Linked DNA regions of Coturnix japonica. The protein of the gene in region 1 purifies or fractionates together with the protein of each later gene. This does not show direct contact. Links are inferred from orthologs where the notes say so. Each region holds a gene or a part of one and is shown on either strand. Other genes may lie near its edges.

Region 1 (3,818 bases):
ACAATACTTCTCCTTCAGATCCCAAAGCTGCATGAGAAATAAATATGTAAATGTCATTAAATTCATAAATTATTCACAGACAGATTGTACATGTTCTTCACAAAATCACAGCGGCAACCAAATTCTCAAAAATGTTTCTTAGTTTTACCCACGTGCTCACAGACTTGAAGCTATGCCTGAGGTTCCCCCACAAATTACTTCCATATGCTAGTTTGCATGAAAATGATTCCCATGACTATTATATAACACTTTCTGTAAAGTGAATGCAAGAACCTCAAATAGCACAAAGTTACCAAAGGCTTCTTCAGAGTGAGGATTAAACTTTGTCTAGCCTCTTTCCTTCCTTTCAGTCTCAAAGTTCAGAATTACGTAGCTTGTACACAGTAACTAAAATGAAATCTCTTAACTCAGTGTTGGATTACTGTGTCCTCTCTAATAAAGATAAAAGAACAATTTGTGCGTTAGAGGCCACACACAGACACACGCACTTTCTAGGCCTACAGCACATACTGCCTTTTTGCTACCAAACCTTTCACTTGTCTGCTCAGGGAGAATTCAAAGCAGGAACAGTTACCTGAACAGTGTTCTCTTTAAAAAAAAGAAAAAAATAAATAGAAATCCAGCCTCTCTGATTTTTATTTTACTGTTCTTTTCTATTACTGGACATACTTGTGCTGTGAAATTCCACCCTTACCCACAGCCAGGTCTTCCTTTGTTCTTCCACTTCCTCTCCTTCCGCAGACACTTCACTTACATGGCTTCTGCTCTGAGTAGACATACTGCCTCATAGTCTGAGTACTGCCAGATTGCTGACCTGACAAATCTTTTGCTTTGATTTACTGTTATTCTGTTGGCACCTACTTTCATTTCTTTATTATGTCAAATCAATTTAATAAGAAAATATATCTGCTCCCCTTCCATTAGGTTATTTATTTATTCATTTCATCATTTGGCACCTATTTTTGTATTGTTTGTGGCTGTTGTTTGTTTGTTTTTATTTCTTTACGGTTTTTAATCAGGTATTCCATTCCCAGGCTCTCCCATTCCTATTCCCATCCTCTAGAAGTCTTCACCTTTGTGCTCAGCTAATAGGAAATATGCTGACTTTTCATCGCAAGTATAAATATTCCTCTTCCGTTCTGCCCTGTCAGTACTCTTGATCAGTTTCTGTCTCTCTTCCACTGGACTCATTATAAACCTTAATTTACAGAGTTTGAAGCATATTTCTACAACAGTAATTACTCTGTTTTGATTATTCCCATACTGCTTATCACAGCCTTTTCAACTTACTTTGATGTAAGTGTCATCTGAGCAGGTGGCTAAAAGATACTGACCCCTTCTGTTATTGAACTGGCAGCAATTGACCTGCTCTGTGTGTTCTTCATATACGTACAAACACTCGCCTGTTCTTGAATTCCAGATCTAAACAGAGTTGAAGGACAAAAATCAGCTTTAAATAAATTCAATGTACTTAATAAAAAATGAAATTTCTAAATCACGTTGGAATACAAATAAAGCCCTAAAAATGCTCTTAATAACACATAAAAATGCTTGAAGAGAAAGGGAAAACACATGTAGTTACATTTATTAACACACAGCTGTGATTTTAGATTGTTTTCACTAAAATAGCAGAGATGTAGATATACACATTTTTCAAAACAAGAACTGGAACCTGGCATCTACAGCCAAAGGTTCTTATAACAAGGTGTCTGCAACCAAATAAAACCAACTTGCTCTTGTCAAAATTCAGTTTCAGCCTACTATTAATTATAGAAAATTTCACAGATAATTTTGAACAATTTAAATATCAAATGGATGAGGAGGATCATAGTTTAGATCTGAGAAAGATTAGAATATCATCAAGATTTTTGGTGCAGTTCTGAAGAATTAAAAATAAAATGAAAAATAATATACAACAGAAAGCACTATATAAGAAAAACATTTATGGATACCTTCATTTTATGTTACACACAGGACTGGACTCATGTATTGTGTTTTACATAAAAAGAAACATCTGATAGTACAAGTAAAATAAGTTGTAATTGTGTATGCATGTTGTTAACATAAGTAAATGATGCTTAACATAACAAGTATGAGATCTTTTGTTTTTAAAGTAGTGAATTATCCACATAAGGTTTAAAACAGTTACTAAAAACCTTCTGTCCTAAGAATCTGCTCTGCCTGAGTTGGCTAAAACTGAAATCTGAATTATGATGATGCAAAACAAATAAGCAAAAAAGTCTCTTCTCCATTTACTTACCTTCACCTTTTTATCAGCTGAACAAGTTGCTACGTATTTATCATCTGCAGAAAAAGTGCAGCAAAGTATTTCATCATCATGAGCACTTATCTCCAGCAATCTCTCTCCACTTTCTGCTTTAAACACCTGAAAAAATACAATGAGGAATGAAATCTTTTAGCTGGCATACAACTTCAAAACATGCTACACAAATAAAGGATTGCTTTCTCTCAAAGAGCTCCCTTAGCTAAACTCTTCATAAAACTGCTTGCATTCTGAAAGCACGTATAATTTCAAGGAAAGTAATATGAAAACATTTAATTTGAACTTCAAATCTATAGAGATGATAGAAATTATTATGGAAAGAAATAGTGAAAACTAATTTAAAAAAAATCCGTATGCATTATGTGTTTTATTAATGACTATGTATAACCTTTGAGCCAAAAGCTAGGCCTTCTACCACATAAGACTTTTGTACTCCTTAAGACTAAATACATGTACTTTCTTACTCTACTTTAATAACTTCACCACACAATAGCTTATTAACAATATCTGCACTGTTATTAGAAGTACAAATTCCAGATTGATATATACGATATCCTTCTGTTGGATAAAGGATTTTAGCAGCAATTGATAATTAAGTAAAGGTGCTAGGAGTCTCTTTTGAGCTGGTTACAAGGCAGGAAAGGGTGGCAAGGAAGAAGCACTGCACATTAACCACTTTCCTTAAATTCTGGGGCTTATCTTAATGATGGTGAAAGGTACCTTTTCCAGCTCAAGGGTAAACAATCTTCAGCTGTTCTAACAAATCACAATTTGCTCTTTGCAGCAACATTCAAGATGCTACAGTCGTGAAATCCCTATTTTTCCGATCTTCTTTCATTAAATGGGATTAACAGTGATAATGAAATAGTTGGTATTTGTTCAAATAAAAGCGACAAAGCAAAAGGAAATCTACATCTACTGTAAATTCTGCAGAATATCTGCTCTTAATTTGGCAGTCATTTCTGCTTCTGGGTTAGTCTAAAATCTGAAGGCATTAGTTTTATTTTAATGTCACTGTTAGGAAAAACAAGATTAAGATCAAAGTTCAACAATGAAAAATGATTGTTAATTTTTGTATTATCTCTTCTAGCGTAGGCTCTGGGGAAAAAATAAAAAAATAAAATAAAATAAATAAAATAAAATAAAATCCCTTTTTTTGATAGAAAGTCAAGAGAAAAACAATGAATCAGCAGTCCCAATAATGAAGCCATGAAGTACAGAAGCCCAGCACAATAACTTCAGCACAGCCACCAAGCATCTCCTTAAGTGGGTGGATGCCATGACCATAACAGTGTAAAAGCCAGCAAATAAAAGAAAGTAGTAAGCACCACCACATTACACAGGCAAATGAACAGCAACTAAGGACCACTAATACTTTTACTTTAGCAAGCATCCAAAACAATACCAAAGGCTTGCAGAAAACTTGTTCTTTACCCTTACCTTTGGCTGTCTGGAATATGGATACTTTACCAGGTTAGTGGCTGGCTGATTGCTAGTTTTCCTGAGAGCTGTCTGGCTTCCCTCCAGGCAGACT
Region 2 (4,422 bases), on another chromosome or scaffold:
GTACTTCAATACAACCGGTCTATTCTTAGTGCTGTTTGTGACTGGGATAGAGTTTGCTTTCTTCATAGTGGCTTGTATGGTGCTATGCTTTGGATATGAGAACTGTGTTGATAATGTGCCAATGTTTTAGCTGTTTCTGTGTAGACAGAATCAAGGACACTTCTGCAAGCAAGCAAGCTGGCGGTGTGTAAGTTGATAGGAGGGGGCAGAGCCAGCACAGCTAACCCTGACAGACCAAGGGGATATTCCATATCATGTGTCATCATATTCAGCAATAACAATGTGGGGGAAAAGGAGGAAAGGGGTATTTTCAGAGTTACGTTGGGTCTTCCCAAGAACCCAATATGTGTGATGAAGTTCTGCTTTCACAGAAACGGCTGAAAATCTGCCTGTCGGTGGAAAACAGTGAATTAATTCCTTATTTTTCTTTGCTTGCTTATGCAGCTTTTGCTTGACCTATTAAACAGTATTTGCCTCAAGCCATAAGTATTTTTCACTTTTGCCTTCCTGATTCTCTTCCCCACCTCTCTGTGGAGAGTGAGTGAGCAGCTGGGTTGCTTGCCTGTCTACCAGGGTTAAATCACACTTTAATCTTTTCAATAATGGCAAAATATACATTGAGTGCAGTCCAGATATTCAGTCTAATAACACATTTTTCAATTGAAAAAGGTATATTTGTCAAAAAAAAAAGGAGAAGATATGTATCACAAAACTGAGAAGTAAACCATGATCTCCTGAGTTCCAGCCTAGTCCCAAGATGGCGATCTTTGCTCTTTCATCTGCTGTGTAACTCTGAAGAGAACTGGCTGGATGTTTTGTTATATTTCCTCTAATACTTTGATATATATTTGTTCTATTTTCCCTTCTTTCAGAACGAAATTACACTGCAATAAGCCTGACTGCAAAATCATCATCATTCCAGTCTGAAATGGTCTGAAGTAATAAAAAGATGAAGTTGTTTGAGGTACAACCACTGCGAATAACTGAAAGCTTAAAACACAGCTGTTCCAAGCAAACCACATCCAGGTCAACGTCCCAATTAATGTTATTACATTAAAGTTATTACATCTAGAAAAGTCACAGTGCACTGAAAATATCCTTCCATATATAATATATATAATATCTGGGACTCTGGTTTCAGACTGGAGTTCAGCACTGGCACAAGTCCAGGTGATCTCTTCATTCAGCTGCCCTGGAGATCCGTGAATGTCCCCACACGTCATAAGCAGAGCAGTTTTATTGTGGTAACTTTACTTCTGGTAGCGGTGTTTAACGTTAACACCTCACAGCGGGGAGACACTGAATACCCCGATGACGTCACGGACACAGCCCAGACCCCGCCCCCCGCTGAGGACAGAGCGTGACCCTCACCTCCCCTTCCGTTGTGCGCATGCGCCGCAGACCCTCCCGCGTTCCCCTTTACGTAGCGCAGTTCCGCCACACGACTTCCGCCGGAAGTAGTAGGACAGGGAGCCCGGCGCCCGCCTTTGCAACCTACCCTGCTAGTCACCGACGTCGTGACGTAAGCATTGACGGACAGATGTTACAACCAATCAAAATTCCAGCAGGCTGCATTTGATTGGCTACTGAGCCACAGAGGGCGGGTGGAGTACCGGCGCCGTTTGGTTGCAGCGACACCGGGTTACATAGGGCGGAGTCCGGCGTGTCCTTGGGCACAGCAGCCGGACGGCGCGGGGCGGTCGGAGCTGCAGTCAGCTGTGTGGGTGCGGTGTGAGCGGAGCGGCCGGCTGGGCAGGTACAGGCGGGCGGGGTGTGCGGGTGATCAGGGCCTGATTTCCAAGCGGCGCTGTCTGGGTCTGGAGCCACTACTTGGCCCGGCCGTTAGGCGGGATTGGGGCGATAAGGGACGGGGCAGTGCGGCTCTGACCCTGCTCACACTGCGGCCTTGAGGATCCCTCAGCTGGCAGCGGAAGGTCACGGCGGGGCCTGCTCTGCGGGAATTAGATGAGGCGTGTTTCTTGTTCTTCAGGCATAAAGCGTGGCACCTTAATAGTGTAATGGTTCTATGCAAATCTTCAAACCCTAGAGCTATAACTCGTGGCTAGAAGGCACTCAGAGTTCACAGATTGGTTTACAAAACTGTAGCTACAGCCCATCGCTGTGAACCTTTTTAAAGCTTCTGTTGAATAGCTGACCTTGATATTGTGATACTGACCTCTGTATGTGTTCTTGGTCTAGTACCGACGATGGGAGATATTGAGAAGGGCAAGAAGATTTTTGTCCAGAAATGTTCCCAGTGCCATACGGTTGAAAAAGGAGGCAAACACAAGACTGGACCCAACCTTCACGGCCTGTTTGGACGCAAAACAGGGCAAGCTGAGGGTTTCTCTTACACAGATGCCAATAAGAACAAAGGTAAATGTAAAGCAGCTCCTCCTGAGCTACTGGTGGTTCTTGGGGATAGTCAGAAGTACTGAAACCTGCAGAAAGCAAAAATAATATTCAGGCTGGACATTAGGAAGTATTACTTCTCGGAAAGGGTAGTCAGGCACTGGAATGCACTGCCCAGGGAGGTGGTGGAGTTACCAGCCATGGGAGTATTCAAGAAACGCTTGGATGTGGCACTGAGGAATATGATTTAGCCAGGAAGTATTGGTAATGGTTGGACTAGATGATCTTCTAGGTCTTTTCCAATCTTGATAATTCTGTGATTCTGTAATATGAGTGAGCAGGAAAAAAATATATATATTCATTTCATTTTGAAGTCACTGCTTGTCTATTTCTTCTTGCCAGGTATCACTTGGGGTGAGGACACCCTGATGGAGTATTTGGAAAACCCAAAGAAGTACATCCCAGGAACAAAGATGATTTTTGCGGGTATCAAGAAGAAGTCTGAGAGAGTAGATTTAATAGCGTATCTCAAAGATGCCACTAAAAAGTAAAAGTTATCTGCTGCCTTATTTATTTCACGTAGGAGTTGGCAATGGAAATGTCTGTGACAAGATTGGTTTTTAAACTTTCTATTTTTACATATACCATGTCTAACCTTAAAATCAGTTTTACCCATCAGATGATGTTGCTCATGGTGGGTCACTGAAGAACACACTTGGCAGCCGTTAACTTATGAAAACTATGTAACTGGGTTGATTTCAATGAGTATAATGTTCAGTTGTTCTTAATCATGAAATTAAAAACAAAAAAAAAATATATCCTGCCTCTTTATTGTTTAACACACAAAAAATGTATCAAACAAGTGTCAAAAGTGTTAATAGCTTTGACAACCCTACTCTTCAGAATGAAAAAGCAGAGTGGGTCTTGGCATCTTTCACTATAAGTCTTCTGCTGTGTTACACTAAAGATTTAAAAGTAAAGAAAGACTTAACAATATTTTTCTAAACTTGATCAGTTTTAGGTGTTGTGGTGCGTATTAATCTATCTAAAGCTTGGGGTAAGAATGCATCTCTCAAGTGCTGTTTGTTCAATGACACTTGTGCCCAGATCCTTTGATCTAGGAGAAACATGTTACTTGATTTATCTCGACTTTCACAGTTGCATGCACCAGTAGACTAGAATTCTCCAGCATCATCTTTAAGTCTTCTTGAATGTTATTGAAACTCTCTGTTCAGTACATCTCCGGAGGGCAAACGTTTGTAGTATAATGAATGAAAGAAGAAACACTTCTTCTGGAAAGGTAACTACTAAAAGCCAAGATGAGAGCTGATAAATCTTATTTCAGCAGTAGCATTCACCTAAAACCTACTGTTACACACAGCTGCTGATGGAGACGCACAGCAATGAATGCACTGGTAGACTAATGGGAAACAGTCTTCTTCTGTGCCTGGCTATAGCGTGTGTCATTAACAGTGTTGAGTAATATTTTAGTGTTTTAATTGTTTAGTGTTTTTTTCATGCTAAGCAAACTGTTCAGATGAATGTATTTACTGTGTATCAACAGTAAGGCACAACTTAGAGTGATCAATCTTGTACATTAAAAGAATTCAAAGTCCTGTTGGCTGTATGTGTCTGAAACCGAAATGGTGGGGTCATATGGGCTTTATGTCACTACAGGATGAGCAAAAACTCAGCGTGAAAAAAGTAAGTGCTAATAGAGATTGTGTGAAAGGTACTTGGAAGTGTGGCAGAGTTAGGAAGTATTTTGAACTAGAAGCAGCAAAGCTAGGCTGGGTAGGCAGAATATTGAAATGGAAGCATGTAAAGTTGTCACTTATTGAGGTTAGTATGAATGCAAGTACCCGGGTGGTACTTCTTTGTTGGTTTCTTTGTTAGGTTTTCGATTTGTTTGTGGAAGGGGATGTAACTAGGGAAGGAATTAAGATTGACTGTAAAAATCAATGTTTTGTTCTTTGGTTTCAAGTTTTACTGAACAGAAAGATTATGAACTAGCAAGTGTAGCATTTTCAGTCTAAAAACGTGGTATTTCAGTAATCTATGGTTAGAAAT

The links.
Region 2: the proteins of APAF1 (region 1) and cytochrome c purify together in Homo sapiens (affinity purification with western blotting; 3 studies listed by BioGRID and IntAct, with this or other methods). This does not show direct contact. The link is inferred for Coturnix japonica from reciprocal best matches to the Homo sapiens genes APAF1 and CYCS.

Annotation. Positions count from the first base shown.
Region 1 is NC_029516.1:42,521,602-42,525,419, reverse strand, and holds part of APAF1 (apoptotic protease-activating factor 1), read right to left. Parts: intron 3,817-3,818; coding exon of another isoform or gene 3,751-3,816; exon of another isoform or gene 3,725-3,750; intron 2,387-3,724; coding exon 2,261-2,386; intron 1,423-2,260; coding exon 1,291-1,422; intron 28-1,290; coding exon 1-27. UniProt on the Homo sapiens protein: Oligomeric Apaf-1 mediates the cytochrome c-dependent autocatalytic activation of pro-caspase-9 (Apaf-3), leading to the activation of caspase-3 and apoptosis. This activation requires ATP. Isoform 6 is less effective in inducing apoptosis.
Region 2 is NC_029517.1:29,070,530-29,074,951, reverse strand, and holds cytochrome c, read left to right. Parts: upstream 1-1,479; 5' UTR 1,480-1,756; intron 1,757-2,199; 5' UTR 2,200-2,207; coding exon 2,208-2,376; intron 2,377-2,754; coding exon 2,755-2,903; 3' UTR 2,904-3,967; downstream 3,968-4,422. UniProt on the Homo sapiens protein: Electron carrier protein. The oxidized form of the cytochrome c heme group can accept an electron from the heme group of the cytochrome c1 subunit of cytochrome reductase.